2 linked regions of the Diceros bicornis minor genome follow. The protein of the gene in region 1 purifies or fractionates together with the protein of each later gene. This does not show direct contact. Links are inferred from orthologs where the notes say so. Each region holds a gene or a part of one and is shown in the gene's direction. Other genes may lie near its edges.

Region 1 (7,306 bases):
AAAAGTCTCCTGTAGAATGTAAAACCCAAGCCTGTGCCTTGTGGATGCAGGGTCTAGATGTAAATTGCCGGATTGGAATATTGATCCCAAACTGAGAAATGAGCTCAAAAAGACTCTTGGACCTCTGGGGCGAGACAAAAAGCAAATTCTCTTTGGGAACGCTTCTTCACCTCAGGGCACAGGGGACTCCCCAGAAATAACACCCATGAAGATGAGTACCTGAGAAAAAACTACAATTGGATCCACCACAAGGAAGTGTCAGTGGGTGACACCAGAGCCCATTTAGATGATTAACCATGGTTAGAATTACAGTATGAATTACCAGCATTTACAGTGCGTGGAATTCCATTTTGTAGTAACTTGACACCCAGACATTAGCTTTTCCCAGCACTAGCTGAGGAATTTCTAAATGGGATGGAGGAGCTTAGAGGTGGCAATCTGGTACATGGGGCGGGGCTAGAGGACTTGTCTTGAAACTGTATTTGCAAAGCAGCACGGTGTTTCTACTTAAATTCCATCTGTTTATTTGGGGAGATGATGAAGATTATGGAGGCGGCTAACCCCTGCCCCTAGCCGTGCCTAGGTGTTGTCACAGGCTTTTGACCCTAATTTTAACTCTTTTCTGTACAGTTTCTTGATGGTAAAAAGCTGGTCAACAGGGAAACTAGAATTTTGATTATTTTCAAAAGAGATGAGGGATGGGGAAACGGACAATGCATTCTCCTGACATCTCTTGTTCCCCCCTTTTAAGCTGGATGGACCTCCAGCCTCTTTTTCCTGGGCCAGAGTTTCCCAAATTGTGTTTCCTGCATATCTATAGATATTATAAGAAAAAAGGTTTCCAGGGTCAAATTCGTTTGGAAATGCTATATTAAAAAGGGAGTGTATGAGTTTTCTAGGGCTGCCGTAACAAAGTACCACAGACTGGGTGGCTTAAAACAAGAGAAATTTATTCTCTTACGGTTCTAGGGGCTAGAAGTCTGAAATCAAGGTGTCAGCAAGGTTGGTTCCTTCCTGGGGGCTCAAAGAGAGAATATATTCCACGCCTCTCTCTCTTAGCCTCTGGTGTTGCCAACAATCCTTGGCATTCCTTGGCTTGTAGATGCATCACTCCAATCTCTGCCTCCTTCTTAGTAAAGTATTCTCCCTGTGTGTCCACATCTCTTATCCTCTTCTTATAAGAACACCAGTCACTGGATTTAGAGCCCACCCTACTTCAGTATGACCTCATCTTAACTTGATTACATCTGCAAGGACTCTGTTTCCAAATAAAGTCATATTTACAGGTACCAGGGATTAGGACTTGAACATATCTGTTTAGGGGACACAGTTTAACCCACAACAGGGAGAAATAGATTTCTTCATCTTACAATTTGTTAGGCTTCAATTTTGGCGATTCTGTAAACGAGAGTGGACAGAGCATGCTGATTTTTTCAAATTCAAGTAATCATGAAAAACTTATTTTTAATGGAGTGTCCCATGTGACCAGTGTTCTGAGGAACATATTTGGGTGGGTGGGGAAGAAGTGGAGCCTCTCTCTCATTAAGCCTCTGTTTAGCAATGACCACTCACTTTCCTAAAGGTTTACAGTGACTGTACAGTCTGGTTGCCTGATGGTGGCTGCTCCTTATGGCTGCTCTGGCCAGAGATCCTTGGCAGCCACTGGGGTGGAGATTGCCTCTTTCTGGGGGCCCTGAGGCCTGGCTAGTGAGGCTGAGGTAATATGGTGGGGTAGGCTAGCCAATCCAGGCCATGCTGGAGGAGAGCCTTTGGTGTTTGTGGCTATGGGGCTCCGGTTTTAGACGTCCCAGAACTGGCATGATGTTGCATTTTCTGAAGCTTGAAATGGGATATTGAGTCTGCGAGTTCAAGGGCGCATTGGGGAACATTTGACGGAGCTGCTCTGTCCCAACGGGCAAGTTGTAAAACGCATGCCCCTAGGGGGTGCAATTCACATTGTAGACATGGTAGATCAAATTTTCTTGTAGTAAGAGTGGCCTGTTCTCAAAACATCGGTATTTTGTGACAATTTTCCAGCAGTTGTCAATAAAGTCCCCTGAGGAAGGGGCACCTTTTTCTAGTTGGTACAAAGGTGACATATGGGGTAAAGGTGGTCCTGAATGGGAAGGAGAAGCCATCACAATGGGCTCTTGGAATGTTAGGTCTGAAATGGCTCTTGAGAGAGGAGTGGTCCAACTCTGGATTTGCTAAGAATCTTGCTTACAAATAATAGAAACCCAACTCCAACTGGCTAAAGCCAAAGGAGAACTAATCATAAGAACAGGGATGCACCTACAACTAAGGAACATACTGGATCCAGGGACTCTGGCACAGTCAGGACCTACCTCTGTCTCTCTGTTCTCTCTTCTCTGCTCTTCTTAATGCATCTGGGACCTACTTTCCTTCCTTCTTAGTTTACGTTGTACGAAACCTGGTGGCAGACAACTCCTGGGAGTCACATGGTAGCGATTCATTGGCCAGCAGAGAGATTGGCCTCTTCTAGGTTCCAGTGTCAAAATCCTGGGGAGGAGACTTAATTGACTCAGCTTTGATCAGATCAATCAAATAGCCTGTGTGTGTGTGTGTGTGTGTGTGTGTGTGTGTGTGTGAAAGAGAGAGAGAGAGAGAGAGAGAGAGAGAGAGAGAGGGAGGGAGGGAGGGAAAGAGGGAGGGAGAGAGAGAGAGAGGGAGGGAGGGAGGGAAAGAGGGAGGGAGAGAGAGAGAGAGACTGTAACCACAGCAACTGAGTGGATGTTGGGAGTGGGACCGGTAATGGTCACACATCCTACAGAGGAGCATTGCAAACAGAGGTCCAGAGACAGAAAATGGCTTGTCACCAGTCGCATAGTCAGTTGACAGCAGAGATGGGAGTGGACCGAGATCTTATATGGCTAAGTCTGTGTGTTCTTCATAATCCAATACTGCCTCCTTTCAACAAAGTGGTGATTTTATTGATACAATTTTGCATTTCAAGGTAAAAATTTTTACTAAAATCTAATCAGAAAATTCTGTAGCTCTTCCAGAAGAGGCAAATGGAGAAATGAAGAACTATAAAGAGAAAGACATTATATAAATACTCAGGGTGTTTCCCAGTCCATTAACTAAATACTTGCATACCTTCCAGGGCTGGGGCCAAAGAGATGTGTTTAAACAGTGAAGGAGACGGAGTAATTGGGAGGTGCTTCACAATCCCTACTTCATTGGGTTTTAGGTATGCCTTAAGTTATTTGCCCTTCAAATTTGTGAGGTGGGTATTGTTAACTCCATTTTTCAGATGAGGATGCTGACATTCAGCAAGATTATTACCCAAGATGATGAGAGAGCCAAGATTTCAACTCAACCCGAGTTTGCCCAATACCAGCGCGGTAACTCTTTATTATTAATCCACAAAGACTGAATAGTGATGAATGAAACATTCTGACATGACATTTCTGCAGGTTTCTGGGACAACCGCTGATCACCTGGGGTTGCCCTTCTTTTTTTTTTTTTTTGAGGAAGAGTGGCCCTTTGCTAACATTTGTTGCCAGTCTTCCTCTTTTTTCTTTTTTCTCCCCAAAGCCCCAGTACATAGTTGTGTATCATAGTCGTAGAGTTGTAGCTCTTCTATGTGGGACACTGCCTCAGCACGCCTTGGTGAGTGGTGAGTATGTCCGCGCCCGGGATCTGAACTAGCGAACCCTGGACTGCTGAAGCGGAACTCCAGAACTCAACCGCTGCACCACCGGGCTGGCCCGGCGTTGCCCTTCTTGTAATAACGGCTGCCACTTTTTTGAGCAGTTGTTATGTATCAGATACTGTGCTAGGTTTGTGATCGCATTTAATCCTTAGGACAACCTATGAGGATGGTACTACTGTATTATTATCTATTTTACAGGATAGGAAGTTTAGGCTTAAGCTATTGCCTTTTCCTGAGTATTCTATGAATAAATTCCTATTAGTTAAATGCCTAATATAGTGCTAAGTTAATAAATTAACAAAACTCTTGACCAATTGGCCCGATACTCCACACGCGTGATGTATCCACTCTCTGCCACTAGGTGACGTCACGACCAACCCCACCACTATATTCCCTGCCAAGAGCCACCGCCGATATCTCGCGAGAGCCGTGGTTTCCTCCAAACTGTTTTGGATATACGCGCGGCGTAGGACACTTTAGTCAGGGTAGTTTCATGGTTTTCAGTCAATCTTCCTAGACTAAGGCTTTAACAAGGTACTTACTGCCTTTCAGCCACCCGAGTTCTCGCGAGACTTGCTACTCTGCTTCCCTCCACCCCCTTGCGCCTGCGCAGATCTCTTCAAAGCAGAAGGTCGCGCTTGGAGGAAGTGGTGGCTGTGGGTTCCGCGTCCGCAGCGCCATTACTAGTTTTCTGAAGGTCCTCTCGGCCGCTTGCCGAGACACCCCGCCACCAAGATGCCTCGAATTATGATCAAGGGAGGCGTGTGGAGGAATACCGAGGTAAGTTACCTTTTCCCGCCGTCCGCTGCCCTCCGCCCCCTCTGGCAGCTTGTGCGCAGGCGCGCGGAGCTCGGGGAGGCGTGGAGGATGTGCCCAGTGGGGTCGGCCGCTGGGGCAGAGCGGGGAGTATCCTCGGGGCCGTTATGTGGTGCCAGGCCCGTTGTTATCTGAGCACGTCTGGGGGCGGACCGTGGTTTAACCCCTGACTACCTGCCAAGCACTTGTTAGGCCCGTCGTGAACATTTGTTAAGTGAGGACGCGCCCCCCGCCCTGGAGGAACTCAGTGTGGAGGGGGAGATAGGACATCCGCGAGAGTTGGTTTTCTGGGACACCCCCGTCCCTCAGCCCGGGCACCATGTCTCTCTCTGACACTAAAAAATAAACAAGTGCTGTGGCCACAAGTTTGTTGCTTCATTGACTTGCTTGTAGAGGGGAAGCAGCTGGAGTGCCAGGTTCAAAGAGCCCATTTCTGCCCGCATCTCCGGTTATCTGTTATCAAGGCATAGCTTGTCTCTCCTCCCGACAGATCCTGTCGCTTCTTGTCTTTCCGCCTCAGCCTGGATAGAAGCCAGATAGGACAGACTGCCTACAGTAGTCTCTTTGCTTCCAGAAATGTAGCGGATAATGCTAGTGGTGAGCCAAAGGGCAGAAGAGAGGGAGTAAAATAGAAATAAGATTTTAATGCCGTTTGTGTTTACAGTGCGCGGTATTTGTCGGTTTCTGGAGCACATCATATCTTTTCCTGCCTCTTCCCCCTTGGCGTCTTTCTGACCATCCTTCAAAACCCAATTCAGAAACTCTTCTTCGAATTTTTGCCCATTCACCCTGTAAAAATTAACTGCACCCTCAGGGGTCCATGGCACCTCTTTCATCTAGTTGTATTTTGCTTTGTCCTTTTGCAAGAATCACATTCTTCTGTGTGATGCTGGTAGGTTTCTTTTTTTTTTTTTTAGACTTTATTTATTTATTTATTTTTTTTGTGAGGAAGATCAGCCCTGAGCTAACATCCATGCTAATCCTCCTCTTTTTGCTGAGGAAGACCGGCTCTGAGCTAACATCTATTGCCAATCCTCCTCCTTTTTTTCCCCCCAAAGCCCCAGTAGATAGTTGTATGTCATAGTTGCACATCCTTGTAGTTGCTGTATGTGGGACGCGGCCTCAGCATGGCCCGAGAAGCAGTGCCTTGGTGCGCGCCTGGGATCTGAACCCCGGGCCGCCAGTAGCGGAGCGCACGCGCTTAAACGCTAAGCCACGGGGCCGGCCTGCTGGTAAGTTTCTGATAACCTCTCACAGCCTCAGTTTTCTCATTTTTCTAATAGGGATGATAATACTACTTACTCTCTTGAGGATTAAGTGAGTCAGTACATTTGGAACATTTAGAACAGAGTCTGCTGTGTAGTAGTCTTTCAGTAAGTGCTAGTTGCTATTTCTTTCCCCCAGCAGACAGCATTGTAATTGTTATCCCTAGAACCTAGATCAGTAACTAATATGAAGTAGGTTGCTTGGCAGATGTTTGTGGAATGAATCTAGTAGGATAGATAACTGGTATGTATACCTAGTTGAAGATGTGTTTGAGTATAGCAGTACTGCAACAGAGTTACAAATAAACTCTGTGACAGCCTTGCCTCAGAGCTTGCAGAGCAGGAAACAGGCTGTTTAAATTGGAGAAGAGATGCCTTCTGGGAGAGAGACAGATGTACAAAAACAAATAACAGCAGGATTCCTATGCAGTGGCCAAAGCCCTGTAGTCTTTTTAAATCTCTGATGATGGGGGTGGAGGTGGAGTGGCCCATGTATGTATGAGCCATGTAGCTCGAGTTCAATGTGGAAAAACGCCTAAAAGTAAAATGCCGCAAGTGGATTCATCTCTGGCACTGTTATCCCTGGTGTCTGTGGCTTAGCTTGCTGGGCTTCCCTGGAAATGGTGAATTCTATATTGGAGTGGGTGCCCTGGTGAAATAGTATCTAGAGACTGGGGGAGGCTGGAGGCATAACTGACCCATGAGGTAAGAACTGACTTAATTCTTAGGTTAGATCTGAGATGTGGATTTTTGGGTCAGAGTAAGAGTTATGGGACTGGAGAGAAAATGCCATTTGTAAACTGGAGACAGGAAGCCTGGATTGGAGAGTGGATTCACCAGGGTCTTGACTTGCTTCTTGAGGGCTGGATGTGGCCTATTCGATTCTTTTTCCCCAAGTACCCAAGACCCGGTACAAGGTAGGTGTTCAGGAAATGTTTTCTGAATGAATGAATAAGTGAATGAGCTGTACTCTTTTGAAGAGAATGACAGCTACACATTGGAGAATACTTTTTGTTAATCTCTATCAAATAGGGTCTCTCAGATTGGGCTGTACCCACTCCCAATTTATTGGGGGAGTGTTGTGTGTAAGGGAGGGTAGGATATCCTAAGGGATTTCCCCCTAATTTCTTGCATTTGGCTGATTCTGGCTTGCTAGAATGAGGTTTTTGTACTTTCTGTTTAAACCTAGGCGGGGTGTGTGTGTGAGTGTGTGTGTGTTTCTCTCTCTTTCTCCCTAGCAACCCTGTTAGAGTTAATTTAAATTTTGTCTTTTCTTGCTTGGAGTTTTGTGATTGAATATACTGTTTTTCTTTGACAATTTTTTAGGATGAAATTCTGAAAGCAGCGGTAATGAAATATGGGAAAAACCAGTGGTCTAGGATTGCCTCATTGCTGCATAGAAAATCAGCAAAGCAGTGCAAAGCCAGATGGTATGTACCAGTTAATGAGTGGAAAACAGTAAATGACCTTCATTATGATGAACAAAATGTCAGTTCTTTGAACCTTACCAAAGAAAGCAGGCATTGTGATATAACAGAAAGTATGGAGT
Region 2 (7,862 bases), on another chromosome or scaffold:
CTACAGTCATTCAGAACCCAGACTGCTGGGTGGAAGGGCCACCAGGATTGGTATGACCATTCAGGATAAGAAAGGAAGGATATGACAAAGAGTGGGGCAGTGTTCTGTTTGAGTCACAAACTGCCTCCAAACACAAAGTGTTGTATAAATGCTTTTGAGAAACGCAGCTCTGTTGGACGATACCCTACACTTACTACTTCCTAGCATAGTTCTTGGTGCCCAGCAACCCTAGGAGTAGGTGAAACTATCCCCATTATACAAGTGAGGCACTGCGGCACTAAGAACTTAGCTAAGACTGTACAACTAGTAGGGTGTGAAGCTGGGATTTGAACCCAGGCAGCCTGACACAAGAGTCCCTGTTTTAATCACTACATTAAGCTTCCTCTCGGTTAAAACAAGGGCATCGCCTCCTAATGTGAAGACCTGGAAGGGAACAAAGCCTGTTTAGAGACAAACACCAGATGAATTCATTAGAAAATCAATTTTGTCACCACATAGTTAAACCTTACATGTATCTTCACATAGCTGTCTTGTTGACTGGTGCAGCCCTGGAACCTAGTGCAGTGACGGGCACCTAGGAGACAATAAAATTTTGCTAAACGAAGTGAATGAATGAATAAAGTAGTTCAAAAGTGTGCATTACTAGGTGACGTGATGTTCGAGGCAGATAGAGAGGGAACTATCGTATATTGAATCCCTTCTGCATGTAGGACAGTGTGCTTACCAGAGTCATTCGATTTAGCCTGACTCTTAGCCTATAAAGTGTATGTTCAGTCCTAGGTCAGGAGGCCTTTCACCATCCAATATGCAAGTTACCAAGGAGCTTTTGGGTGACCCAGCACTCCTCTGTCCCAGGCCCAAGAGTTCAGGTGACCTAAGGGCTTCCTGGACACACCAAAGACGATCACCAAGTGCTTTTTGGTGTGGCTTTCATTTCTAAGGTTCCGTAACCCCTGCCCGTGGTACCTCCATCGGGCACACCTAACCTCTAGCTCCACCTCCTGCAATAGCCTCCCAGCCACACTCCCTGTGTCTGGTTCTGTTCCCCACCCCCTTCCATCTTACACAGCACTGTGAAAATCACCTTCCTGAAGCCCACCTCTGTGAGGAAGCCCCTGTACAGGGTCTGGAATGGGATGGCCTGGCTTTGAGGCTGGTGAGGCCAGGCAAGTCAGTTATCTTCCCTGCCCCCTCCTCACTGCCCATTTTCCCTACGTAATGCCTCAAGATTCTGTAATCCTTGAAGATGGGTTTTTGAGACATTAGTCACCCGTCTTCCAATTTGCCGGCTAATCTAATCTAATTTGACTTCCTTTCTCCATCTCTAACTTGTTGTGATTAATTGGCTCAGACTGCAGCTAGCAGAGCAATCCCGTTGCTTGGTAACAATAGGGCTTTATGAGGATTAAATAAAATAATGTATGCTAAGGTGGTAGCTTGCAAATGCTTGCCACATGATAAACAGTCAGTTTTTGCTTAATCTAAATGTTGGTCCCTCTAATCAAATACCTGCTGTAAAGCTGCAACAAACAAGCAAAACCCTCCAAACCAGACACCTGCTGTGGCTTCTTATTGTCTCCTAGGATAAAGTAAAAACTCTTTACAATGGCATTATTTTTTCAAGAGATTCTAAACATATCTATCCAAATTATATCACGTTGTTCCATTCCTACCATTTGCCCTGCACTCAGCTGAACTGAGCTCTTAACAGTTCCTGGGACATGCTTCTGTCTTCCCACCTTCATGCTTTTGCTTTTTCTGTATCCCCCTGAAATCTCCCCCACCCTCTGCCTCTACTGAAATCCTAGCCAGCCTTTACATTACACCTGCAAAGCCTCACCTGGTCTCCTGAGTCAGCAGTGACTTCTCTGATCTCCACAGTGCCCCCTTGTGGCACTGACAGCATTCTGCTTTTTAATAGCAGTTATTTGTATGTTTCATTTCTCCTGCAAGACTGTAACTTCTCAGGGGTTCTAATTGGGTCTTGTTTCTCTCTGACTCTCTAAAATTGCTCACTGAGTTTAGTGCACATATAAATATTTGAGAGGTAACTAAATGAAGTGACAGGTGTTAAGGTACAGAAATTCAGGGTCCAGGAGCCTGAGTAACCCTGGGTCCAGGTCTGGGGCTAGGGAGGACTGAATTCTGAAGGTCATCTTTTGGAGAGAGGCAGCGCAAGGGGGCACACGTAGACCGGAACAAAGCTAAAGCTGAGCCCAACTTGGTAGGTAACTAAAGTTCCCCCAGGGATCTGTGCCTGTCAGGGTGCTCCCAGGTCCTTCCCCTTCCTGGGGATAATTCTGTTTAAAAATTTTTTTAATAACTTTACTGAGATATAATTTACGTACCATACAATTCTTCCATTTAAAATGTACAGTTCAATGATTTTTTTTTTTTTTTTGCTGAGGAAGACTGGCCCTGGGCTAACATCCGTGCCCATCTTCCTCCACTTTATATGGGATGCCGCCACAGAATGGCTTGACAAGCGGTGCATCGATGCGCGCCCAGGATCCAAACCCCGGGCCGCCGCAGCAGAGCACACGCACTTAAACACTACGCCACCGGGCCGCCCAGGGAATTTTCCTTTTTTCCCTGCTTCACAGATTTGCCCACGGCCCAGGCTTGACTGTGAACACGAGTACCACTCCTACAGAACTGCAGAGCAGAAATCCCTTTTGTGTCTGGTGGGTGAACCACAGCATGGCCACGGAATGAAAGTCAGTCTTGAGGGTTCAGATTTAAATAAGCTTCAGTGAGCCCCACCTTGAATTAGACACTTCATTGGTGCTTTTAAACACACCACCACATTTAATCACAACAGTCCTATGAGGAAAATCTTATTGCCTCAATTTTAAGGATGACAGAATGACGCTCAGCCAGAGAGACCAATGAGCTACCTCAAAGTCACACAGTCACTGAGGAGCAGAGCTGCCACAAGGACTTGACTGCCCCTTGAAGGCCCAGTTAGATATACAACAACACAGTCAGGGCTGCAAACGCCACGCCTACAGGGGCCAGGCAGGTAACACCAAGGAGTGAAGGGGCCTGGTATCAGAAAATAGGAGCAGTGGCAGGGGCATGTGTATCCTCTAAGAGTGGCAGTTTCTGATTAGCACGGAGCAAGTACGCCAGGTAGTAATGAGGTTCTCATGTGGCCAGTGTTCTGATTTCTCCATAGATGCTGGAAATCTAGATGTTGAGTGAACCATCCCATTTTTAAATAAGGAGCCAAGCTGGAACAAAAATAAATAAATAAAAAACACCCCTGCAGGTCAAATTTGGCCCAGGAGACTGCTATTGAGGATGAATTCTTTGGCTTAATAACCAACCTCCCTTTCATTCAACTTTCAAAAGCAAACAGGCTATTAATAAGGTAACCATTCAGCTTTTAGTTGCCATTCCACAGGCGAAAAGTGGTTGACTGGGGTTGGCCCGGTGGCCTAATGGTTCAGTTTGCTGGCACTCTGCTTCGGTGGCTTGGGGTTCACCGGTTCAGATCCTGGGCGTGGACCTATGCACTGCTCATCAAGTTGTGCTGTGGCAGCGTCCCACATACAAAATGGAGGAAGATTGGCACAGATGTTAGCTCAGAGCCAATCTTCTTCACAAAAAAAAAAAAAGGTTGATTGGAGTGGGAGGGCAGGGGTGCCTCCTGGCCCCAGGGCTCTGTCGCTGGGGAAGAAATTAAGTCACTATCAATTAAGTCACTGTCTTCAAGAAGTTGGGCCTGCCAGAAGGGTGGCTACCTTCACCAAAGTTCCTGGGGCCATGGAGGGGGCCGTGAATGTGGCAAGACCTTGGGAGCAAATAGGGGGCCCCGGCCGTCCCAAAACAAGGGTCTTGAAAGCATGCGCTTTAGGTGGGACAGGTAGGGGACAGAGTTTTCTTTAAATTGTTAAATATATGAGAAACCCACAGGAAGATACCAGTCATTCTTGCTCTCTCTCTCTCTCTCTCACACACACACACACAGTTAAAGCACTTGCTGGTGCTTTGCTTTCCTCATCCAGAAATGGGGCTAATCAGCCCCTCCTTGCCTGCGTAGCTCACCGTTAGTAGAGTCAGAGGAAGAAGTGGGTAGAAAAGCGCTCGGGATAGAATAGGGGGCTAAGTAGGCCTATGGTTCATTGTGACAAGAGATTTTCACATATCGAGGTATATGGGGTTAACTTTGGGTTCAAAACTGATTTGGCTGGAACCAAAGAAGCCTGACTTGTGGCCTATCACACACACTTTGTACATCTGCTTTAAGCTTTAAAGAACGCACTCTCACGATAACAATGCGTACTTCCCCTCCCAGGCCCTGGTAACGCAGGTGTTACAGGTGTTAGTCCCTTTCCTGACATCAGGGTCCTGTCCACCCGCTACTTTGCAACTGACTTCTTTGAAACTTTGATAAATATGTACCCTTGGGGTTGTTTAATGTATGTTCTTTGTCTCAAAACGTACTGAAAACCATGCTTGTCCAGGACGCTTTCTTCCTTTGTAGAAAAGGCCTCCTGGGGTTATCATCCTCACGCTGGCTCAAGTAAAACTCCCCTTACTTCTCCTATACATAATAAGGTTATTGGCTATTTTGCATTGACAGTTACGATGTGACTATGCTCCCGGGGGCCAAAGTGCCCAGCGTGGCCAGAAACACACTGACACGATGCGGGGGGGTGGGGGTGCGCGGTCGGCTGCCCCAGGATTCAGGGACCTTGGTGCGACAGCCCCGCCGACCCCGCTCAGAAGGCCGCGGGGAACTGTCGCGCGCTCGCTGAGACACGCCCCGCCCACACTTCCGGCGCGCGACCCGGAAGCGGAAGGGAGCCCGTTTTTTCCCTCCTTCCGGTGCGTGTGTGCTGCGTCCGTCCGGCCCGGCAGGAGCGTAGAGCCGGAGCGGTTTGTAGCGTGCGGCGGGGAGAGTGGAGCTCTGAGACCCCGGAGCAGCCGCCGCCATGGCGGATGTGACCGCCCGTAGCCTGCAGTACGAGTACAAGGCGGTGCGTGTGGGCTCGGGGAGGACTCCGGTTAGGGAGCCCAGCGGGCAGCGGGAGGCTGAGGGAGTCTCAGTCTGAAGGCCTACAGGAGAACCGCCAAAGCGGAGGGGAAATCAGATCGGGCCGAAGCGGGGGTACACGAGGTGGGGGTGTATGAGTAACCCCGCCGGGGTCTGGGGCGGGCGGGATGGGCTAAGAGCTCTGCTAGCAGTGTTTGTTCCCTGTCCCCTCAGCCTTATACCCGCCCACTTCCACACGTCACCCCCAACATGCTCGCCGCTTTTCCCAGCTATGGGTTGTTATGGGCAGTGTTAGCAGCGAGGATCGTTCAGCTGATTTGACTGCCCTTTGCTCATGCGCGATTATACGATGCTATTTCTTCTTAAGGAAGACATCTTTTTATTCCGGCTAGTGATTATCAGCACTTAGTGGCTCCGATTCTTGCTTCTTTTGTTATCATCAGCTGGCATCCTTGTGATGTGTGAATTGTCCCTGCTTATGTCAGAGCTTCGATAATCTTGTGATCTTTTCAGAACTCGAATCTTGTCCTCCAAGCTGACCGCTCTCTCATTGACCGGACCCGCCGGGATGAACCCACAGGAGAGGTGCTGTCCCTGGTGGGGAAGCTGGAGGGCACCCGGATGGGAGATAAGGCTCAACGGACCAAACCACAGATGCAGGAGGAAAGAAGAGCCAAGTGAGTACCAAGGGGAAAATGACTCTTCTTCAGATCCAAAGTCCATCTTCCCTTGAGCATTTGAGCAGTGTTTTGCTTGGTGCAAGAGGAGACATCAGTGGCATTAAAACAACTGAGTAAAGGTACAAACAGAACATGAGATTTAAAAGGTTCTTTGGCTTTATCAAGCGTACCTAAAGTGGAAAACAACTTTTAGACCTTTTTCTAACATGTGTTTCTGGTCCACAGAGACATCTTAATTTTCTTCCCGATATTTTCAAGACCCTTGCTGTTCCTTTGTCTCAGTAACTCTTTTTTTCTTCAATTACTAATTTCCCACCCCTACTTCTTTCCTCTCCTGTTATCCACTTTCTACTTTTGTTATTAAACTGACATTAAAGCATCCATAGCGTGAATGACAGGTGGGTTTTTTTGTTTGCTTTTTTTAACTTTTTGGGAGATTTATTTCAAAACTTAATTTTTGAACTTTATCTCACCATTATCTTTTGATTCTGATCATCTCTGTGTCTTCCTCCTTTCCCATGATGAAGTCTCAAAAATTTGTAGGCACAATTTTGATTAAAGTAGTTATGTTTGAAATGAGTTAATACATCATTTGTTGTCCACTTTGCAGAGTATGACTTCTTTTCCAGTTTTGTTATAATTTGTTGGGAATCAATGGTAGTAGATTCCTTTGGAGCTTCAGTTTCTCTGGCTAGAAAATGTGTCAAGAGTGAAAAACTAATCAAAATCCGATTGTATAATATTGTCATATGAAGTAAAAAGAGTTGTCTTTTTTATTTTTATTTTGTTTATTTATTTATTTTTAATTTTTATTTATTTATTTTTTACCCCAAAGCCCCAGTAGATAGTTGTATGTCATAGCTGCACAGCCTTCTAGTTGCTGTATGTGGGACGCGGCCTCAGCATGGCCGGAGAAGCGGTGTGTCGGTGTGCGCCTGGGATCCGAACCCGGGTCGCCAGCAGCGGAGCGCACGCACTTAACCACCAAGCCACGGGGCTGGCCCTACTTATTTTTTTTTTATTGAGGTAACATTGGTAAGGGTTGTCTTTTTTATTTTTATTTTGTTTGTTATTTATTTTTTTTATTGAGGTAACATTGGTAAGGGTTGTCTTTTTTAAATGAATGAGGAAGATGTCTCATTGTAATGTATAGTGCATCTAGTGAGAGAATGACAGAGGATTCCCTTTCTGTTACTGTGTTTCCATTAAAAAATACTCCTGCTAGTGACTAAGGCCAAAGGGAGTTATTTGCTGAGGTACAGATTCATGTTTTTAAATGCTACCTGTGTGCCATGAAGCTGAGAAGAAGAGGAGAATGGGCTTGATTTCGTCTTACCTTTGGGACAGAAGGTTCTGTCTGTTCAACATCACACTATGTGTCCATTAGGCGAAGAAAGCGTGATGAGGACCGTCATGACATCAACAAGATGAAGGGTTATACTCTGCTCTCGGAGGGCATTGATGAGATGGTGGGCATCATCTATAAGCCCAAGACTAAAGAGACCCGAGAGACCTATGAGGTGCTGCTCAGTTTCATCCAGGCTGCCCTCGGGGACCAGGTGAGACAGCCAGAGGGTGAAACCACGTTTTTGGAGAGGGAGAGAGTCACAACTGGGAGGCACCGGAAGAGCCTTGTCTGTGGATTTTCCTGTGTGAGCCATACCCATTTGCAGAAGTGGCTGTTTACTGAGCACTTAACTTTATGTGGGGTAGAGCTTTGTGTGTCTCCTCTCTTTCAGTCTTCACATCAGCTCTGTGACTAGGTGCTATTAATATTCATTTTCTGTTTTACAGAAGAAAAATGTGAGGCAAAGAATAGTTAAGTAATTTTCCCAAGTCACAGACGTAGTATTTGGCAGAGCTGGGATGTGAGCCCAGGTAGTCTGTACCCAGAATCTGTGCTCTTAACCATTATACATGTGTAATTAGATTAAGGACCTTTATGAATCTCTGAGAGGCTCTGGTGAGGGGGATGCTAGAGGAGGTGAGGACAAAGAATTGCCAAAAGTTGACAGACTAGAAGAAGACTGCGGAGTGTCTCTACCACCTGGAGAAATGTGGCCGACTGTTGTGGAAGCTGTGTCCTTCTGCTTCCTAAGACCACCTACCTAGTCTTTTTTAAAACAGAAGGCTCGTTCTTCAATGGTGTGACTCTTGGTGGCATTTTTTATTAACATGAA

What was found. Proteins that work in one complex are often made in the same cells at the same time.
Region 2: the proteins of CDC5L (region 1) and SNRNP200 fractionate together in Homo sapiens (co-fractionation; 4 studies listed by BioGRID and IntAct, with this or other methods). This does not show direct contact. The link is inferred for Diceros bicornis minor from reciprocal best matches to the Homo sapiens genes CDC5L and SNRNP200.

Annotation. Positions count from the first base shown.
Region 1 is NC_080753.1:21,503,003-21,510,308, reverse strand, and holds the start of CDC5L (cell division cycle 5-like protein), read left to right. Parts: upstream 1-4,300; 5' UTR 4,301-4,411; coding exon 4,412-4,456; intron 4,457-7,083; coding exon 7,084-7,187; intron 7,188-7,306.
Region 2 is NC_080779.1:16,206,445-16,214,306, forward strand, and holds the start of SNRNP200 (U5 small nuclear ribonucleoprotein 200 kDa helicase), read left to right. Parts: upstream 1-4,860; 5' UTR 4,861-4,940; coding exon 4,941-4,985; intron 4,986-5,515; coding exon 5,516-5,679; intron 5,680-7,069; coding exon 7,070-7,241; intron 7,242-7,862. UniProt on the Homo sapiens protein: Catalyzes the ATP-dependent unwinding of U4/U6 RNA duplices, an essential step in the assembly of a catalytically active spliceosome. Plays a role in pre-mRNA splicing as a core component of precatalytic, catalytic and postcatalytic spliceosomal complexes.